2 linked regions of the Mytilus edulis genome follow. The protein of the gene in region 2 interacts with the protein of the main gene of each other region in a pairwise test. Links are inferred from orthologs where the notes say so. Each region holds a gene or a part of one and is shown on either strand. Other genes may lie near its edges. The genes, in order: small ribosomal subunit protein uS3 and protein LTV1 homolog.

Region 1 (17,819 bases), on a different chromosome or scaffold from region 2:
TCTATTTTAAAAAAAACAACATATGCATTATTCTTTTTCAGAAATTGGTTGTGAATAAAATTGAGAATGGAAATGGGGAATGTGCCAAAGAGACAACAACCTGCCCATAGAAAAAAACAACAGCAGAAGGTCACCAACAGGTCTTCAATGTAGCGAAAAATTCCCGCACCCGGAGGCGTACATCAGCTGGCCCCTAAACAAATATATACTAGTTCAGTGATAATGAACGCCATACTAATTTCCAAATTATACTCAAGAAACTAAAATTAAAATAATACAAGACTAACAAAGGCCAGAGGCTCCTGACTTGGGACAGGCGCAAAAATGCGGCGGGGTTGAACATGTTTGTGAGATCTCAACCCTCCCCCTATACCTCTAGCCAATGTAGAAAAGTAAACGCATAACAATACGCACATTAAAATTCAGTTCAAGAGAAGTCCGAGTCGGATGTCAGAAGATGTAACCAACGAAAATAAACAAAATGACAATAATACATAAATAACAACAGACTACTAGCAGTTAACTGACATGCCAGCTTCAGACTTCAATTAAACTGACTGAAAGATTATGATTTCATCATATGAACATCAGGCACAATCCTTCCCGTTAGGGGTTTAGTATCATACCATCATAACATATATGAGAAGAACATAACCCGTGTCATGCCAACAACTGGTTTTTGAATAAATGTGTTTAGTTCCGATGCAAAGACCCTATAAGTGAATCAATATTAACGCCAAAATATGCAATCTTTAATGACCTGACAACAGTATCGTAACTATATCCCTATGTATTTATCTATGATTATACATTGTATATAAATATCATAACTAGATAAGATTTCTAAATGTTAAACCAGCTTTTACTACATTATCTAATTCAAGTGAAGTAGTTGTGTTTCATCAAATTATTGTAAAATTGACAGACTTAAAAATATGTATTCCAATATTTGGTCTAACAATCAATCTTATTCATAGAAATGTAAAGGAGGAAAGATAAAAAGTTATACACACATGTGTTGCTGGTCTGGGTAACTTTTTGAGAATGTTTAATAAATCTGTGGGGAGTAATTTTACGGATCTAATATATATAAATGGGTAAACATTACATGGTAATGGGTCCTAAAAGTTTATTTTCGTTAAATATGTCAGTCAAAACTTTACACTGATCTTTTTACTTAATAATTTGAATGATGGTTAAAATCTAAATAAGATATGACATATTGTATGTTTGATAGGATATATATGAATGGTTACAATTTTCCTATGACATAAACATATGGGTAGGGATTCTAACAAAAATAGATGTATGATTTTACTGTAATTGACACACACCCATATCTAATGTTTTCAAAGCGCCTTCATTGGATTCCACATATGTTTTTATGTAACATCACTAACTTTTATGCCTACCTTTGAAAGTTACCTGACTTGACTATAACTCCATCACTGTTATTGACTATAATACGACAGGAATCAGATGTGTCAGTCAGTGGGTATTTTTTCTCAGTTGTTAGTGGAGACTGGGTCTGAAAACAAATTCCAAATATCATAGCAAGAAAATATCATAGCAAGAAAATATCATAGCAAGAAAATATCATTATTTACATGTTTATGCATTTTTAATATACATGACAACAATATTTGGTGAATGATAATTATAGAATAACTAATCGAAGAATTCAAATAGAGAAAAATATTCAACGAGTGACCGAACAACACATTAATTCACGAATGTGCGTACCGCATGAGTTAATTATCAGGGTTGTTCTGTCACTAGTTGAATATTTTTCGATATTTGAATTCTTTAATTATTTATTCTTTTTATTACATTTGCAAATGGCTTTTTTTAAAGAAATTAATGTAAAACATGTAAGGAACTATATCTTTTCTCTACACATTCACAATTTGTTTTGATCCGCCATAATCGAAGTCTTGACAACGCATATTGTTGTATGATGTCAGAGAGTGTTTTTTTTTCACTGGGAAATCAATGTAATTCATTGTAACCAATGTAATAATCTTGAATATCAAACAAGATGAGAGCTATCATACTGATATTATAAAGAAAGAAATTTTTGTTGTTGTTTGTTTTACTTTTAAAAGAAAACCCATGCAAACACTGTTTTTATGGAACCATATAAAAACCAAAAAGCTGCACAAAGCCACAAACTATCATCTGAGGAGTGTTTATGTTGTGATATTGTAAGGTATAAAAAAGTAAACTATCAATGTTTATATTAAAGCAACTCAATGGCCTGCTCAACATGAAGCTAAATAATTCTTCTTGTTTTATTAACTAAATGTTTTTGATTTAAAGTAAGGTATTGAAGGCATAGAATAGAATAAAGAAGATAATTGGTATGATTGCCAATGAGACAACTAGACTTCACAAGAGACCAATTTATGACACAGAAATAAACAACTATAAGTCTCTGTAGAAGTTCATTATTAAAATTGAGAATTGAAGTGGGGAATGTGTCAAAGAGACAACAGCTGAAGGCCACCTGGAATGAGTCTTTAATGCAGGGAGAAACTCCCGCACCCAGAGGCATGCTTCAGCTGGCCCCTAAACAAAAATGTATACTAGTTAATGGACTTCATACTTAACTAAAAAATATATACAAGAAACTATTGAATTGTTTATCACTCTTTTGTAGAAAGATGATCTGATGAACCATGCCATCTGTATAGAATACAATATTATACTTCATGACATTGAATGACATACATCTTTAAGCCACTTTACTGCTCGATATGGATCACCACCGCTACATCCATCGTTATATGTGGCACAATCAATAACTTCCTGTACGCTCAGTCTAGGGGGAGGTAATCCTGTCTGTATAGCTTTCATACTTTCTATAGTTTCTGTTGCACTGAATGCCCTGGCAATATAAATATAGATGAAATTGTATTATGTTTACCTGGATATTTCAAAAATGTGCAAAATTCCCACAGAATTGTGAAGAACATCAATAATTACTGTAAATACAGAAATAACACAGTAATCAAAGTACCTGTAAGCACTGAAGCGTAAAGATTGTGTTAGTTTATCAGTGGGAAGTAAAATTATAGATTGCAGTGTCAATAAAGCATTGGTTGTAGTTGATTCAAATACAATTCTGGACAATGGGAGATAACTCAAGTTTTTAAAGATGACTAGATTTGCATTGTCTGTTTGGCTACGGAAGTACATGCGTCATGATAAAATGGAATGAATTAAGTTTTTTTCTGTTACTCATAAAGTTATTAGTGTGTAGCTTATAAATAATTTAAAATGTAGATACAGATAATGTTGAGATGTTGTTCATGTTTTATTTTCAGGTAAAATTTTCAGATAATACAATGTTCTTTGTTAATAAAATGTAAAATATAACTCACACCAATTAAGAAAAGGTGTTGAATGTGTCTAATAAGTACTGACATTTGGATAATTATCTATCTGTACTTTTCTACTTACCAAGGATTTGTATATGTAAGTCTTACTATACAAATCTTCGCACTTACCAACATCCTCCACATTTCTTCTGATTCTTTACTGGAGTCACAAAGTTTATGTTGCTAAAATTTCTCCTGTAATACAAAAACTAGAATTAGGTCATGATTTAAATAAGAAGATGTTGTATGTGTGCCAATTAGACAACTCTCAATTCTAGTCACAAGCTATGAACAGTTAATAATTATAGGTAAGAGAACAGCCTTCAACACAGAGCATTTCTCACACAGAACAGCAAGCTATAAAGGCCCCAAAATGACTAGTGTAAAACCATTCAAACAGCAAAATCAAGTCAAATTTCTATACAAATAATAAGGCACAGAAGACCACCTTTACACCAGACCTGCAGCATAACTCTTGAACTTAAAATATGCACTTGTCATAAAGGAACTTATAGACTATGGTCACTGATAATGTGTTTGAAGTTAAATATTTTGTCAAAAGGAACATTAACTATCATAAAGAAACAAAAAGACATATCTGTTTGAAAGAAAATTGATGGGAATATTCTGATCAAGATGTAAAATCTGTAAAAATCAGAATTCATTCCTTATCAAGGTTCTTAGGTTCTTAAAAAATCTGTCTAGTGGAAGTTTAGTTCTAATGAGGAAATCGAAAATTCCCAATTTTCAAAAAAGATTAAGGGGCATAACTCTTGAATTCTAAATGCCAAAATCTTGAAAACTGATATGTATTTTATGGATCATGACATTGTGTTAAAATTGAAAAAAGTTACTATCATCTGAAATTCATTTTTTAATTGGAAACCAAAACTAATAAATATCAATTTTGAGATGTACCAAGTAGCATAATTCTTGAATATAATGGAAACCAAAGGCTTCAAATAAACTTGAAATAATGACAACTGACAATACTGCCATCATCACCAACATCAGCTCAAACTGTTGAAAGATTCAGAGCTGTCCTGAAGGCATGCTCTGCTAAAATTTAGACAGTAACATCCTGTACATAGTTTTAATTGTATATATATATATATATAAAGAACGTTAAATCCTGTAAATAGCCAAGAGAAAACTTTCTGTGTTGTCTGACACTGTGTTAGTTTTCGCGGGACCTCATACATTCAAAAATTGAATTCGGTTCCTTACCTTGAAGAAGAAGAAGAAAGTGTTATAAATTTTTTTATTTCGAGAAGTAGTACAATGTACTTTAATTATCAACTGGTAACCAAACATGTGCACAGGGAGGAACCATGGAAGTAAAATAAATATAAAATTTAATGAATGGACAAACTGACATACTTGTGCATCTATAACTAAAGCCTTGCAATTTCACTACATGTATTATATTATTCCATTTTTGATGTAGGCATTTCAGCAATGTATTTAGGAAACATAGAATTTCAATTTTTTAGTTAATATTTAAATGAGTTACTATAAAGTCTGTGATATATTTTTGATGGTTGTTTGCTATACCTCAGTAGCAAGAAAAATGAACGTTAAATTATTATCACATAGCCTGGAAATTACCAATCAACTCTTTTTGGAATATCCAATCTTCTGAAGAAATTACTTGGAGTATGATGCTGGTTTTCATCTTTTGTCTTTCTTGAAACTTTCAAGTCTGATAAATACTGATCTAAAAAATATTAATATGGTGTCAATTTATTGATATTTTATCTTGCATTGAAAATTCTGTATTTAACGAAGGTATATAAAACTATGTACTATATATATGTTATATTCACTATTACAAAAATATTCTGCAATGTTAAATGACAAAATAAGTCAGAATACATACATCCAATAAAAAAGTGTAAGTAAAATGAAAAAAACAAATTGGAGACAGTCATGCAAGGTCTTAATATAAAGAACCAGATGCTCCGCAGGGCAAAGCTTTATACGACCGCAGAGGTCGAACCCTGAACGGTTGGGACTAGTATGGATACAACATTCAAGCTGGATACAGCTCTGAATTTTGATTGTGGTTAAATAGTTGACACAGCATAGGTTTCTGACACAGAATGAATGTGGTCTAATGAACTTAAAAAAATTGTATTTGCTTTTGAGCAATTCACTATGCTGTTGAATATTAATCCTCTCAAAAAACAAAAATATTCATTATTCCAAAAATGATCTCAATTCAAATTTCGAATGGAGTTTGCAACAATAACTACTCATTTAAATACATCATAAAATATTAAAATATAAAATGTCATACAGTCAAGATTCAAATTAATATTAATTAATAGTAACTTCTAAAAAAATAAATGGGGAATGTGTCCAAAGGGACACAGATGATGCTTCCACTAGCATTTAACGTTATAAAGGAACATAACTCAAGAACTGTAAAAGTGAAGCTGCCAAAAATTGAACTAAAACTGAGTTTAGAGGTAATAACCATTATATACACATTTCTTTAAATTAAGTTGAGACAAACTTAAGTAAAGAGAACAGAAACTAAAGTATTCTTCAATTTTCCATTTATAAAGGGGCATAACCCTAGAATGGTAATCAAAGTGCTTGTAATCACTGAATGGTAAAGACTGATTTAATTTATCAGTTGGTAGTAAAGTGAATATTGCATTGCATATTGTATATAGCATTGATTTAAGTTGATTCAACTACTATTCTGGACAAAGAAAGATAACTCCAATTTTCAAAGATTTCATAAAGCATTGGTTTAAGGTGATTCAACAACCATTCTGGACAAAGAAAGATAACTCCAATCTAACATTTTATATTGGCAAATTTCCAATGAAGTTCATTAAACTTAAGTTATTGGCAAATTTTAAATGGAATTTATTAATAGTTAAGTTTTTGTCAAATTTCCAATCTACATAATTTAAAAGCAGTTTAGGTGAGATATTCAAATGAGTTTCAAACACCAACCTAACACTGCTTTTCAATTATGTTTTGTACTTATTTAATTGTCCATTAACCTGGAAACCCTTTTCCCCCCTTTTTTGCACCTTATTCCTTAACGGTTTGAGCCATAACTCCCAAAGACAATTCTTACCATCCCTTTGTGGTATTCCAATATCCAAAATCTAAATACATGGTTAGATTCAGCATATCAAAGAACCCCAGGAATTGAATTTTTGATGAAATAAAATAAAGTTCAATTTTGGACCTCACTGTGGACCAATTTGATAACTAGGCCCAAATATCATAAATCTAAATACATGGTTAGATTCAGCATATCTAAGAACCCCATATATTCAATTTTTGTTGAAATCAAACAAAGTTTAATTTTGGACCCCAATTTGGACCAACTTGAAAACTGGGCCTATAATCAAAAATCTAAGTTGATGTTTAGATTCAGCATATCAAAGAACCCTAATAATTCATTTTTTGATGAAATCAAGCAAAGTTTAATTTTGGACCCTTTTGGCCCCTGATTCGTTGGGACCAAAACTCCCAAAATCAATCTAAACCTTCCTTTTGTGGTCATAAACATTGTGATAAAATTTCTATTAACTTACACTAAAGTTATTGTGCAAAAAACAAGAAAAATGCTTATTTTGATACCTGTTTTTGGCCCCTAATTCCTAAACTGTTGGGACTGAAACTCCCAAAATCAATCCCAACCTTCCTTTTGCGGTCATAGACCTTATGTTAAAATTTCATAGATTTCTGTTTACTTATACATGTATTTAAGTTATTGTGCTTAAACCAAGAAAAATGCTTATTTGGGCCCTTTTTGGCTACTAATTCCTAAACTGTTACTGGGACCAAAACACCCAAAATCAATCCCAACCTTCCTTTTATGGTCATAAACCTTGTGTTTAAATTTCATAGATTTCTATTTACTTTTACTTAAGTTAGAGTGCGAAAAACCAAATGTCTTTGGACGACGACGACGACGACGACGTGATACTAATATACAACCAAAAAATTTTCAGTTTTTGCGGTCATATAAAAGTTCATTATTATTTGTTCTGCTAAAAATAATCGTTGACTTAGATATATAGATTTGTCTCCCCTTTCCATTCATTAAATATATGTCTCCCATCACTATTACTGTAAATAAAAACAGAAATTCATAAAATTTGTTTCAATTTTCAATTTTCAATTTCGCCAACATTGAAACACTTAAAAGAGAGCTATACTATAAAGTTATAAATGGCAATACATGTATGTACAATTAACACGACAATGGTATATTATTGGTCATTGATTACAGTAGGCAGTTAGACAATAACTAAAATGAAGCCTACCTTTAAATTCTTCAGGTGAAAGATCAGAAAATTTAGTAGGTCCATAGTAGGCACTTAAGTGTTTGTGAGTTCCATTTAGGAATCTCTGGAATTCTAAATTGGTCTGAAAATATAAAAAACTTATAGAGTAGTGAATCAAGATAAATGATAAACAACAAAGTAACAAAACAGCAAAATATCTTTCTTTCTAAACTTCAATTACAAAAACAAATGAAAGAAAAGCATATATTTTTTTTAACATTTCCTTTGGATAAGGTAACTTTTCAATTATTTTTATTTTCAAACAAGAAGTTGATTTATTTAGTACACATAATAATAGTTTTATTGCTGTTCTTTGGATAAAAATTAATTATCGCTAATTTACAAATTTTTCCTTTGATCTTGGTGACTGATAATTTTCTTTCTCAGAGGAGTTTAGTGATAAAAAAAATTATCACTAGAAACTAAGGGCACACATGTCGTTGTGAATTAAATTAACAACGTCGTCATAGGTAAAATACCGATTATAATTGGTCATTTCAACTCGATTGCTTTTCTCACTTTTGCTGTACCAGCTCAAGCGAGAAAATCAATCTTGTTGAGATAAAAAACGATAATCTATAAATCTTTTTTAAAAAGCACAGTTTTTGTTTAAGGTATTATTATTCCTGTGTAGTTTGTGCACTAGATTTAAATTTGTTCAATTTTACATCTAAATTGCTAATTAACCAGAGCTGTAACTTAGCCATAATATATATATATATGTCTAGATGTTACTGTGCATCTACAACAGCAGACTAGTATATATGGCAAGCTCTTAATCAAATTAAAATAAATTCAATAGTGTTCACCAAATATCCTATAGCAAAACAACACAAAAATCTATATGGAAAATTGTAAAAATGTAGGTACATATATGTATTATATATTTCTTGGTTTTATTTTAAAACTTTATGTATATATATATCAAAACAATTTGTTATATTTTTTTCTTATTATAATCAGAGGTAGTTTTTACTCTCAGATATTAAGTTTATAAATTGACATCCATTATTGTATATGTATGTCCTGAGTTAAAGTTTCATACTAAATGAAAAATTATCCTCTCTAATTTTCTACATGCAAACATCATTCTGCATCAACTTTCTATCTTAATACCGTAAGTTCCTCATATATATAGACATGATGGAGATTCTTGCTGCTGACCATATGTATGTAGAACATGCCACACTCCATCATTCTCAAAAAAGATTTTTGGTAGATTTTAACAAAAATCTGCTAAAGAAAGTAATCTTTCCCTTAAAATAAGTAAAAAATTTAAGATGCCCCTTTATTAACTAAAACATGTTAAAGCCCCAGAAAAATTGCTTTCAACAAACAATTGACTTCTGCATATAGACATGCAAATAATTCAAAATGTGTTTTATGTAGACTTTTGCATCAGTGTTACCACTAATGCACTTGGGTGTACGTAGCTATCAGCAACTTGAACAAGATAACATCACAATGCCTACATCACGCTCTCAGAGTAACCAAAACACAGTTAAGCTTCAAACCATTGTGCTTCAGTGTGGGCATCATGGATCCAAGTATCATTGCAGTTCAGAGTCCTACATAAATATAAACTTTCTTCATGCAATGATGTTTCAGGTTCTTAGCTTGATGCCCTGTTTGTCATTCCTAATAGTAATAATTAATATAGTACACCATAGTAAAATGGAATATCTATCTGATAGCAATCAAAATGGAATAAAGAAAACTAACATTATAGAAATTGTAATCAGTAATAAAGTGTACTGAACAACACTTCTAAAATATAATATGGATTAAAAAAACAGTGATATTGATAAGCTAAAAACAGTGATCAGGACATGGTTAGTTTTTTACCTTGTAGTTTTGATATTTTTTGTGGAACACTGGTGTTTCTGAAATGCTCTCTTTGTTAAATTTTTGAAGGTAAATACTGAATTCTTTAATCTCGCTGCTGTTCACTAATAAAAGAAGAAAATATAATACCAAAACCAAAGTGAAAGTGAAACTTGACATAATGCAAAACTAAATATAAACCGGAACTCCGTGTAGAACACTTTTCCGGAACTAATCATATCATAAGTTGTTATCAGTTAGGTACAGATTTAAAATGAACATTTCTAATCAAAGATAAATTATTTTTTCTAAATTATTTAACAAAATGAAAATTAACTTTCCTTAATTAAGTGTATAACTATTGCAAATATCATGCGGAAATAAATCCGAGATCGGTCTCCCACAATACATTTCGTTCCACTGTGAACTTCCTCTTTAAAATTGCCGTCAACATGGCTAACCCAATAAGTAAAAAACGGAAGGTTAGATTCCATTTTCACTTAGTCTTCTGAATTTTATAAAGAAGTAAACGAACCTAACATAAACACAAGTCATTATAGTATCCATTTTGATAATTTTTTGTTACCGATGGCGAAGTTGTTGCCCGATATTGAACGGATGGATATGTATGTTCTTTCGTTTTAAAGTAATGCATAGTTAAATTGAGTGTTATTCTGATTTCAAATCATAGGACTAATTCAATCGTATAGTAGTCACGTTTGCAAGTTCATGAATCTCAAACTATAACTTGCATACTTTTTCAAACCTGCAGCTTTTCCTTGAAATCTCGGACTTTGCCTATGATTTCTTCAGATAATTTTCATCTAACTGAGGCCTAGAAGTAGACTTGTATTAAGGTTGTAAAAAAATCGTGAAGCTATGATTTATTCACCCGAAATTCATGATTTTTGGAATATTTCTGTCAATCCCCACTATAAATGAATCCGTGGTTTTCTGATTGCATGCATTTCTCAGTCTGCCTCGAGTTTGGGAGGTTGTGGGTTCGAACCAAAATACAGTATACTTAACAATTGGCATTTGCTGTTTCACTGCTAAGCACCGAGCATTCAACTGTATCGTAAGAGCAAAGGCTGGTCAACTTGAATAATGTGTTTGCAAGTAATGTATGTAGCCATTGTAGAGTGATATTTCTCGCTGTATACTAATACCTAGCAAAATTAGCAATGATACATAATATGGCTCAGAATTCATTGTAATTTTATACAGGATTTATATTGAATTGTACCATATAACTAAATAATATGCATTTAATTTTCAGCTTGTCATAAACTCCCATCTGTATTATCATAAAAATTGAAAACAGTTGTAGATGCCAAACATTTAGATAAAAAATATATACGGCTTAAAATTGATTTGGCTAGAAGAACATTCTACTAATCCTTAATTTATCAATGATGTAAATACATTAAATTTCTGAGTAATGGCTCCATCAATATCGTAGGTTCAAGAAACAGTACTCCCTATAGCTAGTAATACATGTACAATGTAGGTAAATTAAGTTTTTCTGTTTTGTAGTTTGTTGCTGATGGAGTTTTCAAAGCAGAATTGAACAACTTCCTGACAAGGGAACTGGCTGAAGATGGTTACAGTGGTGTTGAAGTCAGAGTAACCCCAACACGAACAGAAATTATTATTCTGGCCACAAGAACACAAAATGTTCTTGGTGAGAAGGGTAGACGAATCAGAGAACTGACCTCCGTTGTACAGAAAAGATTCAATTTCCCTGAAGGCACAGTGGAGGTATTTCAATTATTATAATACTGGTGAAAATATTATTTTTCCAATTTTCAGTGTAAAATGTTAAGGTCAGTCCGGTACTGTCAGCTTCTTAATTATTGAGCTTCCTACTTGAATTGCATGAACTCAATATTCCAATCGAACTGTCCTTACTATAATTAACCACACATGTGTCAACTATAAACACACATCACCTTTATATGTTGAAAATTTTGTACAACTTTGATAAAATACACTTCTGTTTTTACCAATTATTTTCTAACCAAAAGTCTACATCACACAATGCCACAGTTAACACAACAAAAGACAAAAAAGTAATGACACAAAAACTAACTAGAAAACAATGAGGAGATGCAATGCGACACGACAAATTGTACAAATCCTGGAGAAAACCCTGCCATGTCAGACAGACATTTTAGTCCTACATGTACAAAATAAATCTGACTTACTCTAATTGACTGAAATAAGTCCTCAAGATTGAATAACAGACCACAAGCAGGCAGATGATATTGTACAAGAATTAAACATTCATTTGTATTGTAGATAATTAAATTTATACTGTTGAACTATGCATGCTTTACATTATGAATATATCTGTTTCAGTTGTATGCTGAGAAGGTTGCACAGAGAGGATTGTGTGCTATCGCCCAGTGTGAATCGCTTAGATACAAACTGATTGGTGGTCTTGCTGTAAGAAGGTAAATTTTGACACTAGTAAAAAAATAAGGAAAAGAAATGTTTGCATCAATGAATTTGCAAATACACACTCTACACTTATTCTTTTGAGCTAAAAATGAAATACCAAAGTTTATTTGATTATGTCCAATTATATAAAATTGATTTTGAGGTCAATGTTCAAGGTCAAAATAGCTTTTGATAGATCAAACTGGGACATTTATTTGGTTTCTGTATGGTATTTGCCTCTAGATTTTTGTTCATAAGATCAAAGGTCATCATCCCAACAGGAGCAATTTTAAGTTTTCAGATATCTTTTGAAGCAAATCTTGAATCAATGCCAAGTTTGATAATATCCCTTTGTTTTAGAAAAAAATAAATGTTGGCAATAAACCATCATTCATTTGACAAATATTTGATGCAAACTTTTCAGGGTTTTTTTTTACATCTAAAACCCCTAAAAAAGAAATTGTCATTAAACTTTTGAAACAATATCTTCAATCATTAGCAAAACTTATTTTGTTCATGTCCTTTAAATAAACATCATGATTTTAAGGTCAAGGCAAAGTTCATTTGTCAAGTAAATATTTATTCACAACCTATCTGACATTAATTATACAGGAAATTCATTTAATAGAAAAAAAATCTGCAATTCATAGGATAATAGAAGTTAAGGGGATAAATTTCTTTTTTTGATAGAGCATGCTATGGTGTTTTACGATTCATCATGGAAAGTGGAGCTAAAGGCTGTGAAGTTGTCGTTTCCGGTAAACTGAGAGGACAGAGAGCCAAATCCATGAAGTTTGTTGATGGTCTCATGATTCACAGTGGTGACCCAATCAATGAATATGTTGACACAGCTGTTAGACACGTCCTTCTCAGACAAGGTATGATTGTTACTGATGGCAGGAATGTAGAATTGTTTGTGAATCCTTCTCCCTGGGCATGCCAATCTAAATTTAATTTGTTGTGAAAAGAGTAACTTCCCTGAATTTCCCAATAATTATTGAAGTAATTTATTGTAAGCTATAATGGGTTTATATCACAATATGACTGTGATATTTGTTTTATATGTGTTAAAAAAAATGTGTTTCAATTGATTTTTGTCATGTGTAATTTTTTTACTCGCCCGCTGGTAATCCAGACAAAAAAAAATGTTGTGTTCAAATGTACAAGTTGGGAAATTGCAATTCCACACCCCTGGGTGATGCATAATTTTCAATGGAAACTGTTTCGATGAAAAGACTTGTTAGCGAACACTGGAAAAATTTAAAACGAAAGGACAACAATAATTTTAAATTTAAATCAGGGTTAATTAATATGAGTTAAAATCAATGTTTAGAATCATAACAATTGTTTGTTTGCAAAAAAAAAATCCAAGCAAGTTATGGTACAATAAGAGCAATATAAAATGCCTCAGTAATTATCTGTTTACCTGTTACAATTTTAATTCCCCCTCTGCTGCAGAGGAGTCGTTAATTTTACCCTTGTCTGTCTCTAAAATGTCTGCACATCTTGAAATTGGTTTCTATTTTCTAACTTTAGTGTGCTTGTTAACGATACTTAATACTACAAAAGACAGATTAAAAATGAAAATTGGTGGAGTCACTCTTACTGTTCTAGAGTTGTGCCCCTTTACAAATAGATAAAATTATGAATTTTTGTTTCTTTTCTCAAATCATAACAAATTACAGATCAAGTTTGAGTTTTGTTCCCATCTTATGATTTTCTTCAGAGCTATGATCCTTGGACTTAAAAAGTCACTCAAAAAATCAGTTTTCCACACTTTTTTGTCTTGATTGGAGATCATGACAAGTTACAGATCAAGTTTTGTTTCGGTACAGAGAATTTTTAACTGGTAGGGAACTGTACATATTGCCATGCAAAAAACTCAGAAAGCTTGTTTTGTATTAAAAATATACGATGCAATTCCTAATTATTTTTCATGCATTTGTGATGATGTTGTGGATTAAAAGGAAATTGCAATAGCAAAAACAAGTTTTACTAATCCAGTTGTTATGATTTACAATAACTACTGGTTCGCTGACTTGTAACATGTACATTTTGAATAGTATTTAATTGAATATTGAAGGCTAATCAGTAACATAGGTAGTATTACCTCCAGAACATTGACCATAGGTGAAAAGGCTAAAATAAAAAATGAGATCCCCTGTAGCGAAGGTTGCATTAAGTTTTACCTTTGTCTGTAGGCCTATATGTTCCAAATATGTGGTATGATTGCTAATGAGACAACTCTCCTAAAGAGACCAAATGACACAGAAATAAACAACTATAGTTAGTTTCTGTTCTCCAACTTAAATTTACCTCTACCAAATTTTATGAAACTTGTACACAATGCTTATAACCAAAAAAACACAGATCAAGTTTAAACCATCATCATATCTAGGTTGGACTTAGTAAATACAGCTGTTTCACAAGTCAATCCTCTTTTGGGGAGATATATATATTATTTTCATAGATATGTTAATTTGTTATGGTACTGGTTCCCAGACATGATTTCTGTTTTTCATCTCATAGAGACGTAACTAACTTGGAAATGTTGGTAACTTTATACCAGTATAGAAAATCAGGGTAGCGCCAAAAATTTAATTCTTAAAGGTCCTAAAGTGGGGGTAGGGGTACAATGTAGTATAGAATATTAGTATAAATTTAAATTCTTAGAAGTTCAGGGCATATTAATGTTGAAAATATGTGGCACAGCCCCATATTGCAGTCCGTCTCTGTTTTTTCTGACCATTAGTCTGTCCTGCTAAGGGCTATTCCAGAAAAAAATGTTTCTGGAATAGCCCTAATCAGTTTTTCACTCTTTTTTCATGCACAAAGATATTGATTTAATAATTAAGGTGGCTCATGGGTACAAAAATTTTAGCAAAAAATTAAACCTTTATTTTTTCATTACAAATTTTATTTATTACACTATTAGTTGTAACGAACTATGGTACAAAAAACAACCCAAAAAATTGATTTGGTTTGGCCCCAAATGACTAAAAATTGAAAAAGCTCCAAATTATCTCCCTTTGGTGCAAACATGCCATTTTTTGGCCTTAAATTTGAAATATCTTTTTTAACTCATCGGTGACCTATATTTTTTATTATTATTTTCAAATAAGCTGTACATAAACTAAATAATTGTAAAATTTAAGTGATTTCTTATATTAGGTTATTTTTTTATTTCGATATTTCCTCTTTTTCTCCTATTAGTTCAACAGAAAAAAAGGACATTAACAAAAATGTATGCTTCTTCCAGAGGCAGATTTTAGCTTAAATGAACGGTGACCCCATTTTTTTATTTCATTTTTCTTTTAAGTATATGATAAAGTTCATTTATGAAAAAATATAGCGAAATCCTATATTAGAAAAAAAATTCATTTATACCCAGGAGCCCCCTTAATACAAATAGTTTAATCATTTTATTCAGGTATGGTCCTTATAAAAATAAATCTAAATTTATCTAAAATTGTTTATTTACATTAAACTAGGTGTACTTGGAATTAAAGTAAAGATTATGTTACCATGGGATCCAAGTGGTAAGATTGGACCCAAGAAACCATTGCCAGATCATGTTATTATTGTGGAACCTAAGGATGAGGTTGTTCCTTCAAGACCATTCTCTGAGCAAAAGGGATCTAAACCTACAGATCCAGCCCAGCCACCTGTTGCATTATAAAAGTAGGTATACACTCTTACTGAGAAGAGACACTTTACAAAAACTTTGACAATAAATATACTGTGGATTTATAAATATATTCGTTGGATACCAATTTTCACGGATTTTGTTGGTACAATTGAACCACGAATTCAAATGTTTAATGAATAACAGATTTAAAATAAGGTTGTATGCAGACTTTCACAAAACCATGAAATCAAATATCTACAAAAAGGCATATTTTCGTCAATCCAATAAAATTGGTAACCACAAAATTAAATGAAACCACAGTATCATTTTTAAAAATCTTGGGATACTAACTTTTAGTCTTTTACTGACTTTTTTTGTTATCCACAAATTTTAGTGTTGAAGGAAGTACACATTTTCTATACATACACAGAGGGAAAACCATGAAATCAATTATCCATATTTACAGTTTTCCTGAATCCAAAAAAATGATACCCACACAAATGAATAAATCCACACAATTCCTAACTTTTAAGTTATCTCCCTTTAACGATCTCTAAAATAGAAGATCACTATTCCTTCCAATCTGTACATCTATTATAGAATTATAAGATGCAACTCCTAATTGTATTCCATGCATTTGTAATAATGTAGGGGATTAAATGGAAATTGCAAAACCAAAACCAAGTTTTACTAATCCAGTTGTTATGATTTACAATAACTACTGGTTCGCTGACTTGTGACATTAATAATGTAGATTTTCCAAAGTGATGATGTGTAATACAATGTGGAAATATTTGTTGTGAGCACTTGTCCCCGGGCAAGTGAAACCTAAAATTTTACTTGTCCGGAAAAAAAATTACTTGCCCTGATGATCCCAATAAATATTGAAGTATTTCTTGTTAGCTAATATATGATTCTAACGTAGCACTGTTGTGCATCACAAACAAATGAAATCTATTTGTTTATATGTGTAAAAAATTAGGAAAGTAGGAAATGGGTTAACATCAATAGGACAGAAACCTAACAGCAAACCAACCAATGAAATGACATGTAAAGGACAATTTTTAATACAGCAGTTTTTGAATAAAAATTGTAGCCAGTTAGTAGGTACATATACAGTGTTCCCGCCTGCCCTAAATAGAAGGGCGCCCCGCCCGCCCTAAATAGAAGGGCGCCCCGCCCTTGGTGCCCTTACCCCCGCCCTTCTGCCCTCCAAAGCCAAAGAATGCCCCCCTCTGCCTTTTCAAAAGATACATTTTACAAATTTCATGCCTTCTGGCGTTTCCGGTAAAATTGTTACCTGAGTGATTGTGTAACACTAATTAACTGACAATAGGATTAAGTTAAATACCTAATGCCTTTGGCAGTTTTATCACCTCTGCTAATGATTGTTCACTGCTAATTAGTGGATTTAAGATAATTGAACAAATACTAGATATTTAATACAGAATGAAAATGCTGACATGTTAGCCATTTGTAATGTTTACGTATCATAGCATATGTACACATAAAAAAAAATATTTTTAAAGAAAATTTAAAACAATTTAAAAGGCAGACTAAGTTTTGAGTTAATTGGTAGATTGGTAAAAACGATTTGTTTTTATAACCACCAGTATGAAATTAAAAGAAGAACCAAAGAAATTTGTATTTGAACATAACAAGATTGCACCACTTCCTGTTTTATTTCTTGTATTATAATCCTCCTTACATAGGAGCACTTAACAAATGCTTTTATTTTTTAACCATAATGGAGTTTATACCTTCTGTAATATATGCAATGTATTATTGCATCATTATAATATAATCATCTCTTGTATCACCTGTTATATTTATAAAACTCCCTACTTAGGAGCCCTTTGGTGTGCACTTCTTAATACTTTTTTGTAACAATTTAGGTAACTTTCAATAACACAAATACTATATGTCTAAACAAGTAGTTTTAATGTAAATAATTTAATTACATAACAAATTCAATTTTGTTTAGCTCCATCTTTCAGAACTACTTGTTTATTTTTATAGACTTGTATAATTAAGTTATATAAATTATAAAATAAAAAAAAAAGATTTTTCTAAGGATTTTTTTCCTGATCAAAATGCACAGTTTGCATAAATTTACATCAATTAAAATGATATGCTTTGTGTCATGGTATGATAATTTGATAATAAAAAAATCTTACTGGAACCAACACTTGGAACACATTAATTTCTGAATAAGGTTAAAATACA
Region 2 (17,407 bases):
CTTCACAATTTGATTAGTTTCTATTTGTTTTATTATATCACTGCCAACAGATGCACTCCCACTTCTGGCTTGAAGTTCAGCAATTATTTGTGCAGTTGTTTTCACTTTTGGAGTTTTGTTAGACTTGTCCATTGAAAAGTCAGTATTTACAGACAGACTTACATTTTTCCTTGAAGGAAAACTTTTATTTAAACTAGCTTCCGATGGACTTCGTGATAATGAGCCATTTGTTTTTTGCGTATTGCTATTTGAACTGGATTTTACAGCACCATTCATTTTTGAATAATCCACACAATTGTCAATTTTTGCTGTTTTGTTCAGTGACTCATCTGCATATTCCTTTCGTGCACGTTTCCTGTTTGCAATATTTGTTCTAGACAATTTTTCATCAATATTTCTGTTTTTTGCTTTTCCGTTGAGTTCTGGGGAATGTTTAGAACGACGTGGAAGTTTTTCACTACAAGCACTTGATAAACTTTCTTGAGACATATTTCTAGTCAATCTACATGAGTTTTCAATTCGAGTTGAACTCGGTGGGCGGAGAGGAGTATCTACTGGAGTTGATGGCCTACTGCAAGAAGACACAGGAGACACGGCTGGTGATCTTGAATCAGTTGAAAATGTCATTTTTGGAGAAATTGCGAACTTTGGTGTACTATGTAATCTTGGTGAAGATGTTGGTGTGGATCTCAAACTTGGAGAGAGAGTTTGTTTAAAATATTGAGGCATACTTGGAGTGTTTGGTTTGCTCTTAATGGCTGGAGTATTTGGTTTGACTTTTTGTTGCAGCGTTGGTGTATTTGGCTTTGACGAAGGAAGTGATGGTGTGTTTGGTTTGCTTCCTGGCAGTCTTTTAACCTGACTAGACTTTACATAGGCTGGTGATAATGATCCCAATGAAGGACTTTGTAAACTGGCAACATTTGGATGAACAAGGCGTTCACCATTATCCCCATTTACAATGGGATTGTCAGAATTGATCAAATGTTGCCAATTTTTCACTAACTTTTTAGCTCTTTTAGCTAATTGTTCATTTTTTGTTTTCTTCCTCAATTCATTTACGTATCTCCCAATTCGTGTTTGCTGAAATGGAAAAAAATAAAATAAAGTAATAAAGATGTATTAAAATATCACCTCCATTCTTAAGTTAATGTGGAATAATTTTACTTGCATTTAAACTCAAGAAATTCATGACTACTTTAATATAAATAATGAAGTGGTCAATCTCTTTTTTCTTTCATTGTAGAGATCTAAATGTTCCTAGTTCCTGTGTTCAAAAATCTTCAGCAATCATAATTTTGATTTGGCATCTGGGATATGAACCTTTCTCAAACTAGTATTTATAGAGGTTTTGACTTAAATAATGTATTTTGTATTCACATTTTTTGTTCTAACAATGGTTATTAATTGGTTTTTCAATAGTTTTAATTGTACTATTTGTACAATTCAGGTCTTCAATTCATATTCAGGTTATACAAGTTCAACTTTTTTCCTTTTCCAAATACATTAAGGGGGTTACCATTTGATTTTTATGGGGGGGGGGGGGGGGGGATAGGATGAAATTTGAAAAAAAGGCAGCATGACAATTGTTGTAAAAAAGTCAGGATAAGCTAAGGAAAAAAAAAAGGCAGGACCGAATAGACTGAAAAATAAAAAGGCAGGACAGAGATTACAACTAAAAACTAGAGGCCCTCAAGTGCCTGTGTCGCTCACCTGTTACTGTATTTACTGATGTTGGCCATCTTGGGTGGTAGGTGGGGTCATTAGACACTTTTTTAAATAGATACATTAGTAATGATTGTGGCCAAGTTTGGTTAAATTTGCCCCATAGTTATAGAAAAGAAGATTTTTGTACAAGTTACAAAAATGACGAAAATTTGTTCAATATTGACTATAAAGGGCAATAACTCCTTAAGGGGTCCTCTAATAATTTTGATCATGTTGACTTATTTGTAGATCTTACTTTGCTGAACATTATTGCTGTTTACAGTTTATCTCTATGTATAATAGTATTCAAGATAATAACCAAATACTGCAAAATTTCCTTAAAATTACCAATTTTAGGGCAGCAACCCAACAACAGGTTGTCAGATTCATCTGAAATTTTGAGAGCAGAAACATCTTATTCTGATGGGCATTTAAATCTTGAAAGATTTGCCCTAAATATCTTAGTTTCAAAGATATAAAGCAAAAACTGCATTTCACCACTGTTCTAATTTTAGCCATGTCGGCCATTTTGTTTTGTAGGCGGGGTCATCGGACACATTTTTTAAACTATATACCACAATGATAATTGTGGCCAAGTTTGGTTAAATTTGGCCAAGTAGTTTCAGAGAAGAAGATTTTTGTACAAGTTACAAAAAATGACGAAAAGTTGTTAAAAATTGACTATAAAGGGCAATAACTCTTAAAGGGGTTGACTGACAATTTTAGTCATGTTGACTTATTTGTAGGTCTTACTTTACTGAACATTATTGCTGTAAACAGTTTATCTCTATCTATAATAGTATTCAAGATAATAACCAAAAACTGCAAAATTTCCTTATAATAACAAATTCAGGGGCAGCAACCCAACAACAGGTTGTCCGATTCGTCTGAAAATTTCAGGGCAGATAGATTTTGACCTGATCAACAATTTTACCCCGTCAGATTTGCTCTAAATGCTTTGGTTTCAAAGATACAAGCCAAAATATACATTTTACCCGTGTTCTATTTTTAGCCATGACAGCCATCTTGATTGGATGGCCAGGTCATCGGACACATTTTTTAAACTAGATACCCCAAGGAAGTTTGTGGCCAAGTTTGGTTAAATTTGGCCCAGTAGTTTCAGAGGAGAAGATTTTTGTAAAAGTTTACGGACGCCGGACGCCAAGTTATGAGGCAGGACACAATTTTTCATCCTAGCCCCCCCATAAAAATCAAATGGTAGCTCCCTAAGATTGAACATCTTTACACATTTTTAGTGTATAGTATGTCATGGTGATCTTGTGTAAAAGCAAATAAGTGTCAGCTCAGTCAGTATGCTGTGCCCTACATGTTAAACACATTTCTTGAAGAAAAAAAAAGCAAATTAACTCAAAATAAAATTGGTAAGATGTGTCTGCGTAGCACTATGCCACTTTAAAATCAAAAATTAATATCTGCAGATGGACATCAGCCAATCAATCGGACAATCTTGATTTGTGTTCATATAATGAGAGGAAGTGAATGTTTGTAAACGACTCTTACCTCCAATGCTTCTCTAGACATAGGATATTTCTCCAATAAGGAGATAACAGCCACCACTGCTGCCATGTCAACAACCTGAGGAAACAAAGGAAACTTTTTTATACAGAGATATAATCCACTTTGAAAACATATGGCCTATAACATTTTAACTTTATTGAGTCTGTCCTAGGTTACGGGGAGGGTTGGCACCTTTGAAATAGTTTATCCCCGACACTTTTTGTATGTGTCTGTCCCAAGTCAGAAACCTGTAACTCAGTTGTTGTTTGTTGCTGTTTTACAAGTATGTTTTTCATTTAATATTTGTACATGCACAATAAACAGCTGCGCCATGAGTTCATGTACGCCCTTCGCATATCCATAGAAGAAGCTTATTTTCAATTAAATGGGCCCTCCAAGGAGTATAGTACAAAATAAGACGTAAATAAAACAATAACAAAAAGAAACCAGATGCTCCGCAGGGCACAGCTTTATAAGACTGCAGAGTTCAAACCCTGAACAGTTGGGGCAATTATGGACAAAACATTCAAGCTTGATACAGCTCTGATTTAGAATAGTGATTAAATAGTTGACACGGCAAAGGTTTCTCACACAGAATGAATGTGGTCTAATGAACTTAAAAAAATGTTTTATTCCTTTTGAGAAATACACTTGCTGTTGAATATAAATCCCCTCAAAAAAATATTAGAAGAAAAATTCTTTTTAATCTGAAATGAGAAAAATTTTACCCCCACCCAATTATTTTTCCCCTCCCCCTTTTTCATATTCCAAAAAATATCTCAATTCAAGTTTCTAATTGAGTTGGCAATAATAACTTCTCATGTAAATGCATCATAAAATATTAAAATAAACAAGAATGTGTCCTCAGTACATGAATGCCCCACTCGCACTATCATTTTCCATGTTCAATGGACCGTGAAATTGGGGTAAAAACTCTAATTTGGCATTAAAATTAGAAAGATCATATCATAGGGGACATGTGTACTAAGTTTGAAGTCGATTGGACTTAAACTTCATCAAAAACTACCTTGACCAAAAACTTTAACCTGAAGCGGGACAGACGGACGGACGGACAGACCAGAAAACATAATGCCCCTCTACTATCGTAGGTGGGGCATAAAAATGACATACAGTCATGGTTAAAATTAATATTAATTAACAGTAACTTCTAACAATAAATTTACTAATACACATCTCAATACAATCATTTCTTAATACATAATTTTCAAGCAGTGTAAGGGAGCTAAACAAGTAATCAAACATACATTTTGTATATGTAACAGTGTTTCTTAAAATTTTAATTGGTTTACCTCCCCTTCACTGCTTTTAAATTGTCTGAATTAACCAGAAAAACCCTTGTTTTCCCCCTTTTTTGCCCCTAATTAATTAATGATTTGAGCCATAACCATCCCTTTGTAGTATGGAAACTTGTGGTATTATTTCAGAGAGATTTAAAAACAAGTAATTGACTGATAACTACAAAAATGCTTATTTAGGCCCCTCACTTATTGAAACCCCCCCCCCCCCCCGACCCCCTGAAGCAAGAACACAAAAGCTAAATTCCAGCCTTTCCTATTTAGTATGAAACCTTGTAGTATAATTTCAGAGAGATCCATACACTTAAACACAAGTTATTGTCTGTAAACTAGAAAAATGCTTCTTTTTGGCCCTTTTTTCTTAATGTTCAGAGATATTAACCCAAAATTGATTCCAAGCCTTCCCTTCGTTATATGGAACCTTGTGGTACAATGTCAGAGAGATCAATACTCTTAAATACAAGTTATCGTCTCTAAACTAGAAAAAAACTTGATTTTGGCCCCTAAATACTGCATGAATTGAGCAATTACCCCCAAACTCAATCCTAGCCGCCTTCATTTTGTGATATAGAACCATGTGGTACAATATCAGAGAGATCCATAAACATACACACAAGTTATTGTCCAGAAACAACAAAAATGCTTTTTTTGGGCAACTTTTTGGCGGTATAATTTAAGAGCAATTGAAATACTTATACACAAGTTATTATCCTGAAAGTAGGAAAATGCTTGTTTTGGCCCCTTTTGATATTAATAATTCAAAGTTTCATGAGAACTGCTGAAAGCATTTTAGAGTTATTGTAGGAAAACTGGAAAATCCTCTTTTTTAATGATAAAACCCCATAACTCGGAAACATTAAATCAAAAATTTATAAAAAACAAAAGGGAGCTAGTGTTTCCTACAGGTGGTTTTGGCGTGTAATGGCGCCCTGTCCTTTTTGGGAAAAAAATTTGGCGCCCTGCCCTAATTTTGTCGAAATTCCTGACGCCATGCCTTTACCGTCGTAATTAACAACCTGTACTGAAAGACATATTTTATGAATACCGCTCGAGTTATTTCCCTTCAAACGTAAACAAAAGTTCACTAGGACGCCATGTTGTAATAGATTTCGTAATCAGCTGATTAGCAAACTGCAATAGATTGAATAGTGAATACAGATACTAATCATGCCATCAACAAATCGGATGAAGCGAAAACGTGAGGAAGAAAATGAGAAACAGGCTTCAAAATGGAGAAAGCTTTTATCATTTTTTCAAAGGTTTGTAGATTTTTATTACAAAATGGTTACGCACTTGCAACGGTGTTGGTTCGGGGGTTAAAAATAAACTTTTGTCAAAGGGGTAATTTAAGGTTAAAGTTGAGTTAGGCCAAGGATCTCATCAAATCACTTGCATATTAATTACTTTCAATTAATTCATTTTTTCATCAAATTATTTTTTTTAAATTTACTTCTTCAGTTTTTAATTTGAATTAATCTAAGAAAGGAACAATTTATGAAAAAACTTCCAGATTATTTAAGATATTCTTGTTTTATGTGTTATTTATTTATTTTCAGCACCAAAGAGGCACGGAATGTTTGTGACACAACGCAGAAATAGACAGAATATGTCAACTGTAAACAATCTTGTTCTAGTGTTAGCAAATACCAAATCAATAGATGATTTGGATATCAGGGAATGTGTCAACCTGTTTTTAGGGAAAAAAAGGAGGATTTGTCAATGACAATTAATATGACCAAAGCAATATTTTTATATATATGACATAGTTCTTTCTTGTTTTTAAACATTTTTAAAGAACTGATTTTGTTTTTAATTGTGTTTATTGTTTTAAATATTTCATATATATGTTTTAAACACTTTTTCTTGTTTAACAATTTGTTTTAATGATTGATAAAATTTGATTACAGATGTATATGTCCTTTTTATAGCATTAAACTAGTATGTTTTAAATGAATCCATTTTATAGAAATTGCCTGTTTATATTAAGTAAGTGCCCTAAAATTGTTGTCCATCGCGCTTAATGTGCCCTCTGAGCTAACAATTACCCTGCCCTTTTTAAAAGCTGCAGGAAACACTAGGAGCTCACATCGTTAGATATATATAAACAATTCACTAAAGTTTTATGCAAATTAGTTAAAGCATTTTGGAGTTTATGTCTGACATGTTGATGACGGACGGACAAAGATATACCATTTACATTATACGTCCACCAAACAGGCCTATAAAAATATTGATGGCCGTCAACTTTCTTGTTGGAATTATTTTTCTTTTGTCATTTTGGTGATTTTTGTAGCAGACTGCAGTATGGGTTTTGCTAATTATCAAAGGCCATTTTGTCTTTTGTGCAAAGTTGTCTCAAAAGTAAGTATACAGCATATTTTTATATCAATACATGCATCCACATTCAAAATATCTGGTGTACTTGCTCCTGGTTGGGATTTGACCTTAACCGAATTCTGTTTTATTCAAGCCACAACTAGACAATAGGAGCTCGAGGACTATGAACAAATGATACATAAAAATGAGCAAATATCGAACGCATTCAGCCTTCTTTATATTTAGAAGGATTCTGTTACTATTTTCTTGTAATACACTTGGAGGGTTTGATTATGAAATCACAAGTCGTCTCGAAGACGTGTTTGCAGCAATGCCCGAAGCCGAGAAGGTGTTGCTAAGCAGAAACAACAAATATCTTCATTTTCTGTCTCTACTCAATTATGATGCCTATTGAACTTTTCGTATACAGTACTTAATGGATCTAATATCACAAGCATGGATTTAATTTGTTCTTTAATATGGTAATATTCTTTTTAAAAAATCACCCAAGTCTTAACCCTTTCAACGCTATACACGGCATATGCCGCGATGACATACGCCGTCCGCCACTGCTATTCGCGGCATATGCAGCGATGACAACGGATTTTTCATAAGGACTCTTAAACCATTCGGTTTTCATTCGGGTCCTCTCTAATTTTTCCTTGTATGAATCGAGGATATGCAAGGTCTCATTTGCGCTTGAAATCCCGGCAATTTTTATTGTAAAATCATGCAGTAGAAGGAAAAATTGAAGGAAAATAAAAACAAATATTTTGACAAATGCAAATGGCGGAAATCGGAAACGAAGCTGTAAATATGGAAATATTTCAGCATTTCTATGGCGAAACTGATGACGAGGATTAGTTAAAAGGTTTCTTGTTATCTCAATGTGTTTATTACATTCAATTCGTGTGGGAAATATGATTTGATCGATCATTACGAGACGTAGAAAAAGGGGGGAAAACGGAGGTTGACTGAAAATTTTGAGGACGGAGCCACTGATTTGTGCCATGATTACATAATACGTTGTGTATGGTGCAATACGCTACGGAATCGAGCAATGGGTGTCTTCTTTATTATATGGCAGATAAAAAAACCCAAAATAGATGAAGACGAAAAGTAGTTTTTATTCAAAATTCAACACAAATGTAACAAATTACACCTTTTACCTGTTAATTACCTGAAAATGCAGGTAACCTGATAAAGATTTTACTGAAATAATTGCCTAACATTACAGTTCATACTCTCCTGAGCATTTTTCATGCAATAACTTTTTCTGTATCTCTTACAATAAAAAAGATACAGCAGTCTGAAAAGGAATATACTGTTCTAATGAATGAACACAAAAAAAATGCAGCAGCAGCAGCCATTTTTCTATTTTTTTGTGTAGCGTTGAAAGGGTTAATAATATTAATAATAAAGTGATTGATGTATATTAGTTTTTGGTGGGGTTCATGTTGTTTATTCTTTAGTTTTCTATGTTGTGTCATGTGTACTATTGTTTTTCTGTTTGTCTTTTTCATTTTTAACCATGGCGTTGTCAGTTTGTTTTAGATTTATGAGTTTGACTGTCCCTTTGATATCTTTCGTCCCTCTTTAAAGGAGTTAACTTTTATTAAGAAATTAAAAGGGAATTGCTTTAATTTTCAATTTTTTGTTTTTTTTAAATATTGGATTGTCGAAGTTTTTCTTTCCTTTTCTGTGTTCTGGATTTTTCTACAGGGTTATGAAAAATGAGATCATTTCTTTCCAGGTAATGAAGATTTCATTTGGTGTCTTTTCAATATGATAATTGGGGTTAATATCAACAAGTACTTGAGTAATGACGATATCTATCATGTGTATCACTATCTTAGCTAGAACTGGGTATTCCTATATAAAAGTATTAATCTTCACCCTAGTTGACATTCCCACAAAGTTTGGCAAAAACTTACTAGTCCGATTGAAATTTTACTAGTCAAGGACATCGGACTAGTAGCTAAACGTGCAGACTGTGGATGATACTTTTTTTTTAATTTCATTTATTTTAGTTGCTCTCAATAATTGTACTTCATTCTTACATGTACATAAAATTCAATCTGTTCATGATTTTATATCTCTGCTCATTGAGCTAGTGTGAAGAAACCAAAAGAAAAATTCAACAGATATTTTTTTTAAGAGAGGTTTATTATTATCGTTCTTCTTTAAGTTATAAATGTAAAGACTTGTCATTTTCTTTCTTAATCTTCTTTTGAATAGCCCCACTTGGTACAGTGTATCATCTCTTTTTAAGATTCATGTATCTAAGCTGCAAAACCTATAGCAAACTTTGTCTTTTTTGTTGATTGTTTTTGCTTTCCATTGACCATGAATTTAATCAGTTTAATTTAGGGTTTGTTTTTAATTATATTTTGTACACCACTGCCCTACTGGGCTAGGTTGGGGAGCAGACCTGTAGCCAGGAGTTTCCAAAGGGGTGTTATTTGGACTCATGAACTCAACTTTAACAGTCACAATTCAAACAGAATGTTGACTTTAGGGAGCTACCATTTGATTTTTATGGGGGGGGGGGGGGCTAGGATGAAATTTGAAAAAAATAGGCAGGACAGGAGTCCCCCCCCCCTCATAAAAATCAAATGGTAGCTCCCTTAACAGTGCTTATTTGTTTTCAAGTGAACCCCCTCAGACTATGGGTATGGGGAGTGTCGGGGGACATCAATCATTATTAATTCCACCCATGTGTACCCAATCCAGATCCTGCAATTCACTGGATGTTGTTTGCTGTTTTTAATATAAAAAAAAAGATCTTTTGTTGATTCACAACATTTTTAGCTTTCTATGAAGTGTGGGTTTTGCTCATGTCAAAGACAGTGATCAATATTGATGATGGGAACATCAAGTCATCAGGAGAGTTATCTAATCAGCAATCAGACATCTTAAATATCTTTGTATAATGAATTTTAAGTTTTACTTGTAATGTAAATCTCATCTACCAAAATAGCAATCAGAAACAAAAGGTTAACTTGGTTGATGAATTATGAACGCCATGCACAGGTAACATACTAAAAGTTCTTTGTTTGATTAAATGTCATTTATAAATGAATGGATCACACTAGTTTCAGCAAAAAAAATCTTATAAAACATTTAAATGTGAAAAAAAATAAGTCCTTGTACAGTATACATCTACTTTCAGTAAACTTATTTCACAACAGGAATGAGATACGAGTGAACTATAATCAATATATGCACAGATCAAATTAATTAATTTGCTTGATATGTAATTTTTAAATAAAAATATTTTCATATGGAGGATTCCGTTATATAAACCATAAACAATTTTTATTTTTACTTATGAAAATTCACGCATGTATGTTTCGCCTATCATCGGTAAATAGTTTGTTTAAATAGCTGATCGAACACAACATGGGAGCCATGCACAACTTCACCATGGGACAATTTTATATTTCAATTTTCCCTGTTAATTTCTTACATTATTTTCCTCATCAAGGCCCTTCAGCAACTTCTCCTTTAATTCGTGCGGACTGCACTGCATTGGGACGCCAAAAAGCCCCCAATTTAAAGGATTTCAGCCAGCTGAACGACTGATGTTGTCCGTCCAGTATGGCGGACTTCCATACATTGCAATTGTACGGATATCTATAGCGCACTGGCATCTGGGAAGTCTCTCTCCAGTGTCGTGACGTAAAGTGACGAACGACTGGACTGAGCAGTGCGCGATTGTAGACCACGTGGTTACGATAATACGATATCAATGACGTAGAACTTCCCTTCTAAATCTACACCAACATATCATTTGCATTAATTATTCAGTAAAATGAGACTTTATTGTTTAATATTTATTAAGAGTTTGGTCAATTATAGAAAATAGTAGAAGTAGAAGAAGAAAATGAGGACCGACGAGCGGACTATTTTTTGTCTGATTCAGTCACACAAATATTTGCCAAAAGAGGGCTCTGATAGCTGAGTTGACTATTTGGACATTTGATTGGCCAAATGTACCGCATTTATTAATTGGTTTAGGTTTCCATTCGGATTTTAACAAAACTTATAAACACTAGAGAAGTTTCGAGTAGCACTTCCGCACATTTCCAAACACGAGGTTTAGAAAATGTAAAACACATCAACAACATTTTCAACCAACCAAAATAATGGTTTGTAACAAACTTTTGACCTGTTCCTATCATTCATCCCAATAATTATTTACATTGTGTTTCAAAAATGACAAGTAAAATCATAAAAAAAAATTTAAAAACCGTAAAACTAAAAGGGTGAACACTTTAATTTATTGATGTTGGATTGTTGTTTTGACCTCATAAAAATGCATACCAATTTATAATAAACCAGCACATCAACTCGGAAACCTGTGATTACTGCAAACAAAAAGAAAATGTACAACACTACCTTTTTGAATGTGATCTGTATTCAGATGCCAGAGACAAATTATTTCATCTGATCAAATCTAAGGACCAGACATGGGGTAAATTGTAATTGTAATCGTTAATCAGCTGTAATTGATTACAATTTTTCAAGTAATCATTGTAATCATTAATCAGCCAAAAAATTTGATTACATGTAATTTAATTGAATCAATTACTTTTCAAAATACCCTGTAATCCTGATTACTTTTTGATTACATTTTGATTACAATGAACAAAATCAAAAACTGTTTATGGTCAATAAATTAACCTTTTTGTTTATATTCATATTTAATTGTACACTTCAGTAAAAAAAATGTTACAGTATTGAACAGTCATCATTAGCCTAAGTAAAAGATTCACAATTTAAAGATGTATATATACTTGATAATAAAATAAATTATTATTATTACATATTTGATAATAACTATTAATTTTAAGTAATACTTTTCTTTAACCCCTGAATTATAATTTTTTGTTAATATTGTGATCTTTGTCCACTTTGAATTGACAGGTAGGTGACCAATTAAGGTTTGTTTCTATTGCAATTACCAATTGTGTATAGCTGTAGTGTAATCATGATAATATATATGATAAATGATAAATCAGACTAATTGATAGAGGACAAAAATGTAGTTCAAATTAAAAAAAAAATTGTATGTATTTGGACTGGACATGTAAAATGCTATGATTTTTGGTACTTATATTTTGTTGACAATTTGATAAAACAATATTAGTAACATTTTACATAGTTTTTATGGCCCACCTACGATAGTAGAGGGGCATTATGTTTTCTGGTCTGTGCGTCCGTTCGTCCGTCTGTCTGTCTGTTCGTCCCTCTGTCCCGCTTCAGGTTAAAGTTTTTGGTCAAGGTAGTTTTTGATGAAGTTGAAGTCCAATCAACTTGAAACTTAGTACACATGTTCCTTATGATATGATCTTTCTAATTTTAAAGCCAAATTAAACTTTTGACCCCAATTTCATTGTCCATTGAACATAGAAAATGACAGTGCATGTTTCAGGTTAAAGTTTTTGGTCAAGGTAGTTTTTGATGAAGTTGAAGTCCAATCAACTTGAAACTTAGTACACATGTTCTCTATGATATTATCTTTCTAATATTAATGCCTAATTATATTTTTTATCCAATTTCATGGTCCATTGAACATGGAAAAAAATAGTGGGAGCGGGGCATCCATGTACTTTGGACACATTCTTGTTAATTGGTAATTTTATGTCATCCATATTTTAAATTCCTGAAACTGAACCTTGAAATACACATGATACATGGAGAGGTTTGATGACAAACACCAAACTCTTTATAAACCTTTATTTAATTGAAGTAAAAATAATTCAGAGATCAATGATGATTAAGTGTAATGGGTCATAACCAATGACATGTAAATATGCTGTAAATTTTTGTAGTTTATTAAACATATAAAGTTTGATGTTATTATTTTATAACATATAAAATTCTTTTGCAAAAATACTCATTTTGTTATATTAAACATTTATTCATTCATTCACATCAGTTAAAATGTTTTTTTCAAAAGTTCATTGTAATCAGATGTAATCATGATTACTTTGCCAATGTAATTGTAAATTTAATCAGATACTTTCAGAAATGATGTAATCGTTAATTTAATTTAATCATACAAATGCCAAAGTAATTGTAATTCTCGACACTCCTAGGAGTCGAGATTAAGAATTGAATGATGGACAGTTAGTGCGTGAATTTTTCTTTCTACCTGATTGGAAGATATTACGAGACGTGAATAATCAAAGTTTATTGATTGGTTAGGACAATCCAAACCAAGTAAATGTCCTTCAATCCTGTAGAGTATTGGATTTGTCCTCTCTATTTTAGCAATTAGATTTTATACAGGTAACCTTTATCTATAAATAGTCGAATCTTCTGGAGTAAACAAATATGTTAAACGATACTACTTCATAGCGTGTGACCTCACGTGTGTGGTAAAATTTGTTGATTGATGCACATGACTATATTCTAGTAAATGAATTAATCTACAAAGCGAGAGCACTTTCCATTTTCATCAGCTAAGAGTCGAATAGCCTTTTTGAAAGGCTAACGCTTGTTTAATCAATTACATTGAAAGTAATCAGACCCATCTCTGAACAGGACAAATTCCAACAGATTTAGACAATTTATTAACAATCACTTTGCCAAATGCAAAAAATATCACTCAACTATTAGGGGAGTACATATAAGAAAAAAACGTTTTAGTGGATAATTTGATACAAATTTCTTTTAATTTTTATTATTTTTTAATTTTTCATGTCATTTCAATTACCTAATTAACAATTTTTTTTATTTTTTTCACTTCATACATTGATTCTTTAATATTTTTAAAGCGCCACCTACAATATAAAAGTACAAAGGAGTAACTACATTAGTGATTAATAATTTTACAAGAGAGGATAATTTACAAGAGAGATTACTCTGTCATCACGTCAAAAAGATTGAAGATTGAAGACCTCATTGTCTGACGTTAAATCAGTACATTGTAGTTGTTAAGAATTCCTCTTGAATGCAGACAGGTTAAACAAAGACATGTATTAAAATTGGGTCAAAAGGTTTGGGACCTCCACACTTCAGAATCTATCTCGAAGATGGAGATGGTCGATAGTAGTCAGAAAGTAATCTGACGTCCTAGGGCTGTTTTGCCAGACAAGATGGGGCTCTTTGACGTCCCACATCAAAAAGTGGATATTTGCCCAACCAAAATAGATGCGCTGCTTCGTCGCTTCTGGTGCCGTCTAACAGCCTTGGAATTATATAAATTGGGCATCAATCTGTTCAAATTCACAATGTCTGAATCAAGTTGTCACTATGAAAACTGTCTAAATATGAGAAAATAAATGGTGGCAGGTAGGTGAAACTTACATAAATGAAAAGATGAATGAAAAATGAACAGATTGATGCCCGATTTATTTAAATCCAAGGCTGTTAGTCGGCACCAGAAGCGACGAAGCAGCGCATCTATTTTGGGTGGGCAAATATCCACTTTTTTATATCGGACAGGCTCTGACGTCCCACGACCCCAGCTTGTCTGGCAAAACAGCTGTAGGACGTCGATAGGAGAGGTGCTCAGTAATAATAACAGTATGCCTGCAACAGTTATCATAACACTAGCATAGTCCAAATAATTATCGTGAAAGGCTATTATATTTGTTTCTTTGACAACCTTACATCGACATCATAATGCTGAAGCCATCATTTTCGGTCTGACTTTTAAAACATATTTTGTTCTCAACTTTAAGACCCAATTTAGCCATAAAAGTTTCATTGAAGGCTAAAAAAATATGCATATATATACAAAAATTCTTACCTTTTAAGTGTTTGTGCAAAATACTTCCAATAAATCCCTAAAGTAATAATAAAATAAGTTACAATTCCATCTTCTGCTTTTTTTCAAACGTTATAAGGAGATTATAAATAATTTTTTGCACCAAACTCGGCCAATATTTGACAGACCCAAATTTCCAGAACCTTTGTTTTATATTATCCTGAAATTCAGGTCCGTCAAATTTTACCAGGTTTGGTTCAAAAATATATTATATACACCTTAGGATTAGGAGAAATCAGCTAAACAATTTAATAAAGCAGTTAATTCCCTCTCAAAGTCCAACTGCAAATATGAGTTTGGCTTTATGACATCGATGTAAGTCGTCAAAGAAAAAACATAATAGCCTTTTAAGACGTCATAATAATTTAGACTAAACACTAGCCTTTTCTCGATCTTGATATCTATATCACTAATGGAAAGCTGAATACTAAAATTTATGATAAAAGGGGTAATTTTTCATTTCCTATCGTTAATTATCCGTTTTTAGATGGTGACGTTCCCTTGTCACCATCTTACGGTGTTTATATATCTCAACTTGTACGATTCGCTCATGTATGTAACAATGTTTTAGATTTTAACGAGAGAAATTTATGTATTACTGAAAAATTATTACACCAGGGTTTTCGATATCACAAACTAGTCAAAACATTTACTAAATTTTATCATCGGTATAAAGACATCATTCGTAAATATAGCTCAACATGCAGACTTCTAATACGTTCAGGTATTTCACATCCAATTTTTTATGGTAATATTCTTTATAAAGCACAAAAGTGTCAGTATTCACCTCAGAAACTTACAAAACCTTTGAATAGACTTATTAAGAAGGGATATAATTACGATACTGTTGTCAAGTCATTAAAGATTGCATATTTTGGCGTTAATATTGAGTCACTGATAAGGTCTTTGCATCGGAACTAAACACATTATTTTTTAAAAACAGTTGTTGGCATGACACGGGTTATGTTCTTCTCATATATGTTATGATGGTATGATACTAAACCCCTAACGGGAAGGATTGTGCCTGATGTTCATATGATGAAATCATAATCTTTCAGTCAGTTTAATTGAAGTCTGGAGCTGGCATGTCAGTTAACTGCTAGTAGTCTGTTGTTATTTATGTATTATTGTCATTTTGTTTATTTTCTTTGGTTACATCTTCTGACATCAGACTCGGATTTCTCTTGAACTGAATTTTAATGTGCGTATTGTTATGCGTTTACTTTACTACATTGGTTAGAGGTATGGGGGGAGGGTTGAGATCTCACAAACATGTTTAACCCCGCCGCATTTTTGAGCCTGTCCCAAGTCAGGAGCCTCTGGCCTTTGTTAGTCTTGTATTATTTTAATTTTAGTTTCTTGTGTACAATTTGGAAATTAGTATGGCGTTCATTATCACTGGACTAGTATATATTTGTTTAGGGGCCAGCTGAAGGACGCCTCCGGGTGCGGGAATTTCTTGCTACATTGGAGACCTGTTGGTGACCCTTTGCTGTTGTTTTTTATTTGGTCGGGTTGTTGTCTCTTTGACACATTCCCCATTTCCATTCTCAATTTTATCAAACATGCTCAATACACTCAACTGGCCAAAATTAACACCACAGATTATGTGCATGCCGTGTGATATACAAGAGCACACATCATCTTGTTTCTATTCCAGCTAGCACAATTCTCATCCCATCAGACTCTAGAACAAGAAAACATCATTTTCACACCTTCAGACATGTTTATACATCTAACGACTCGCAGAGATTTTCATTTGATTTTTCCCATACACAATAATGCAATGGAATCTATTACCAATTACAGTTGTTTATACACAGACAGTCAACTCTTTCAGAGAGCAGCTTACATACATGCTTGCTATTCTCTCCACTCATTTAAATAGCTTCATCTTCTGTAAATAGATTAACTATGTCTGTTCTCTGCATCTTTTTTCTCCTATATTTAACAAGATAGCAAAAAAGAAAACAATGTACTAGCAAAAAAACTTACATCTGTTCATTTCAGCCTAATAAAAAGAAGAAATTCATAGATAAGAAAAATGCTGTTACCTTTCACCTTGTCCACAGAAGTCAGAGAGATCCATTGCAAGCAAGTGAAGATGCCTCTTTGGGAGTCCTGTTATCGACCAATGATAAAGTAAGTTTTTATTACTTTTTATTAATTTTTTTACCAAAACAAGCAACCAGCAAATTGCTCATACATGTACATCTTCCCAGTACTACAAAATAGCATGACTTTATACATGTACTTGTTAAGCAGCTGGACAATTGTGAGTTGTAACATATTAGTACTTTTCAGATATGTAAGACATCTACTTCCTTTTTTGAAAATGATGCATCCGCGTCATGTTTCCGATACCATTGACCAGAACCGGAAGTTGATTATATTTCCACCTACCGCACTCGGTTCCATATTTACTATTTTACATACTAACTGGAATCTGCTTGTAATACGCTACACTCGAACAAAGTGTTGTAGTTGGATGGGAACCAGTTTACATACTTTATTTTATTAATAAACAAAAGATCTTGACCTGTCCATAGAAAGACTTGTATAGTCCGCAGTTTTATTCTCCAAAATTGGACCTTCCAGAGGGGGTGCGGACTATAGAGTACAATAAGCAAGAAATAAGAGAACAAGTTCAATTTTCGCGGCAAGGTGGTTTGTTTACATTCCGCCATCTTTGTTATTGATATTGTAGATGGCACTCTCATCATTTTTCAAACTAATAGTTTTAACTCATCCATATTGATAAGTTATTTCT

What was found.
Region 1: the proteins of protein LTV1 homolog (region 2) and small ribosomal subunit protein uS3 interact in a two-hybrid assay, tested with the Caenorhabditis elegans proteins (2 studies listed by BioGRID). The link is inferred for Mytilus edulis from reciprocal best matches to the Caenorhabditis elegans genes T23D8.3 and rps-3.

The regions. Positions count from the first base shown.
Region 1 is NC_092351.1:20,188,764-20,206,582, forward strand, and holds the start of small ribosomal subunit protein uS3, read left to right. Parts: upstream 1-9,877; 5' UTR 9,878-9,975; coding exon 9,976-10,005; intron 10,006-10,279; coding exon of another isoform or gene 10,280-10,280; exon of another isoform or gene 10,281-10,298; intron 10,299-11,059; coding exon 11,060-11,284; intron 11,285-11,884; coding exon 11,885-11,979; intron 11,980-12,655; coding exon 12,656-12,843; intron 12,844-15,456; coding exon 15,457-15,644; 3' UTR 15,645-15,646; intron 15,647-17,819. Other genes in the region: cathepsin O-like, read right to left, coding at 1,413-1,528, 2,731-2,887, 3,510-3,575, 4,989-5,097, 7,679-7,781, 9,545-9,703.
Region 2 is NC_092344.1:118,741,059-118,758,465, reverse strand, and holds the start of protein LTV1 homolog, read left to right. Parts: upstream 1-10,879; 5' UTR 10,880-11,005; coding exon 11,006-11,008; intron 11,009-16,647; coding exon 16,648-16,779; intron 16,780-17,407. Other genes in the region: mediator of RNA polymerase II transcription subunit 26-like, read right to left, coding at 1-1,083, 3,229-3,303, 10,327-10,389.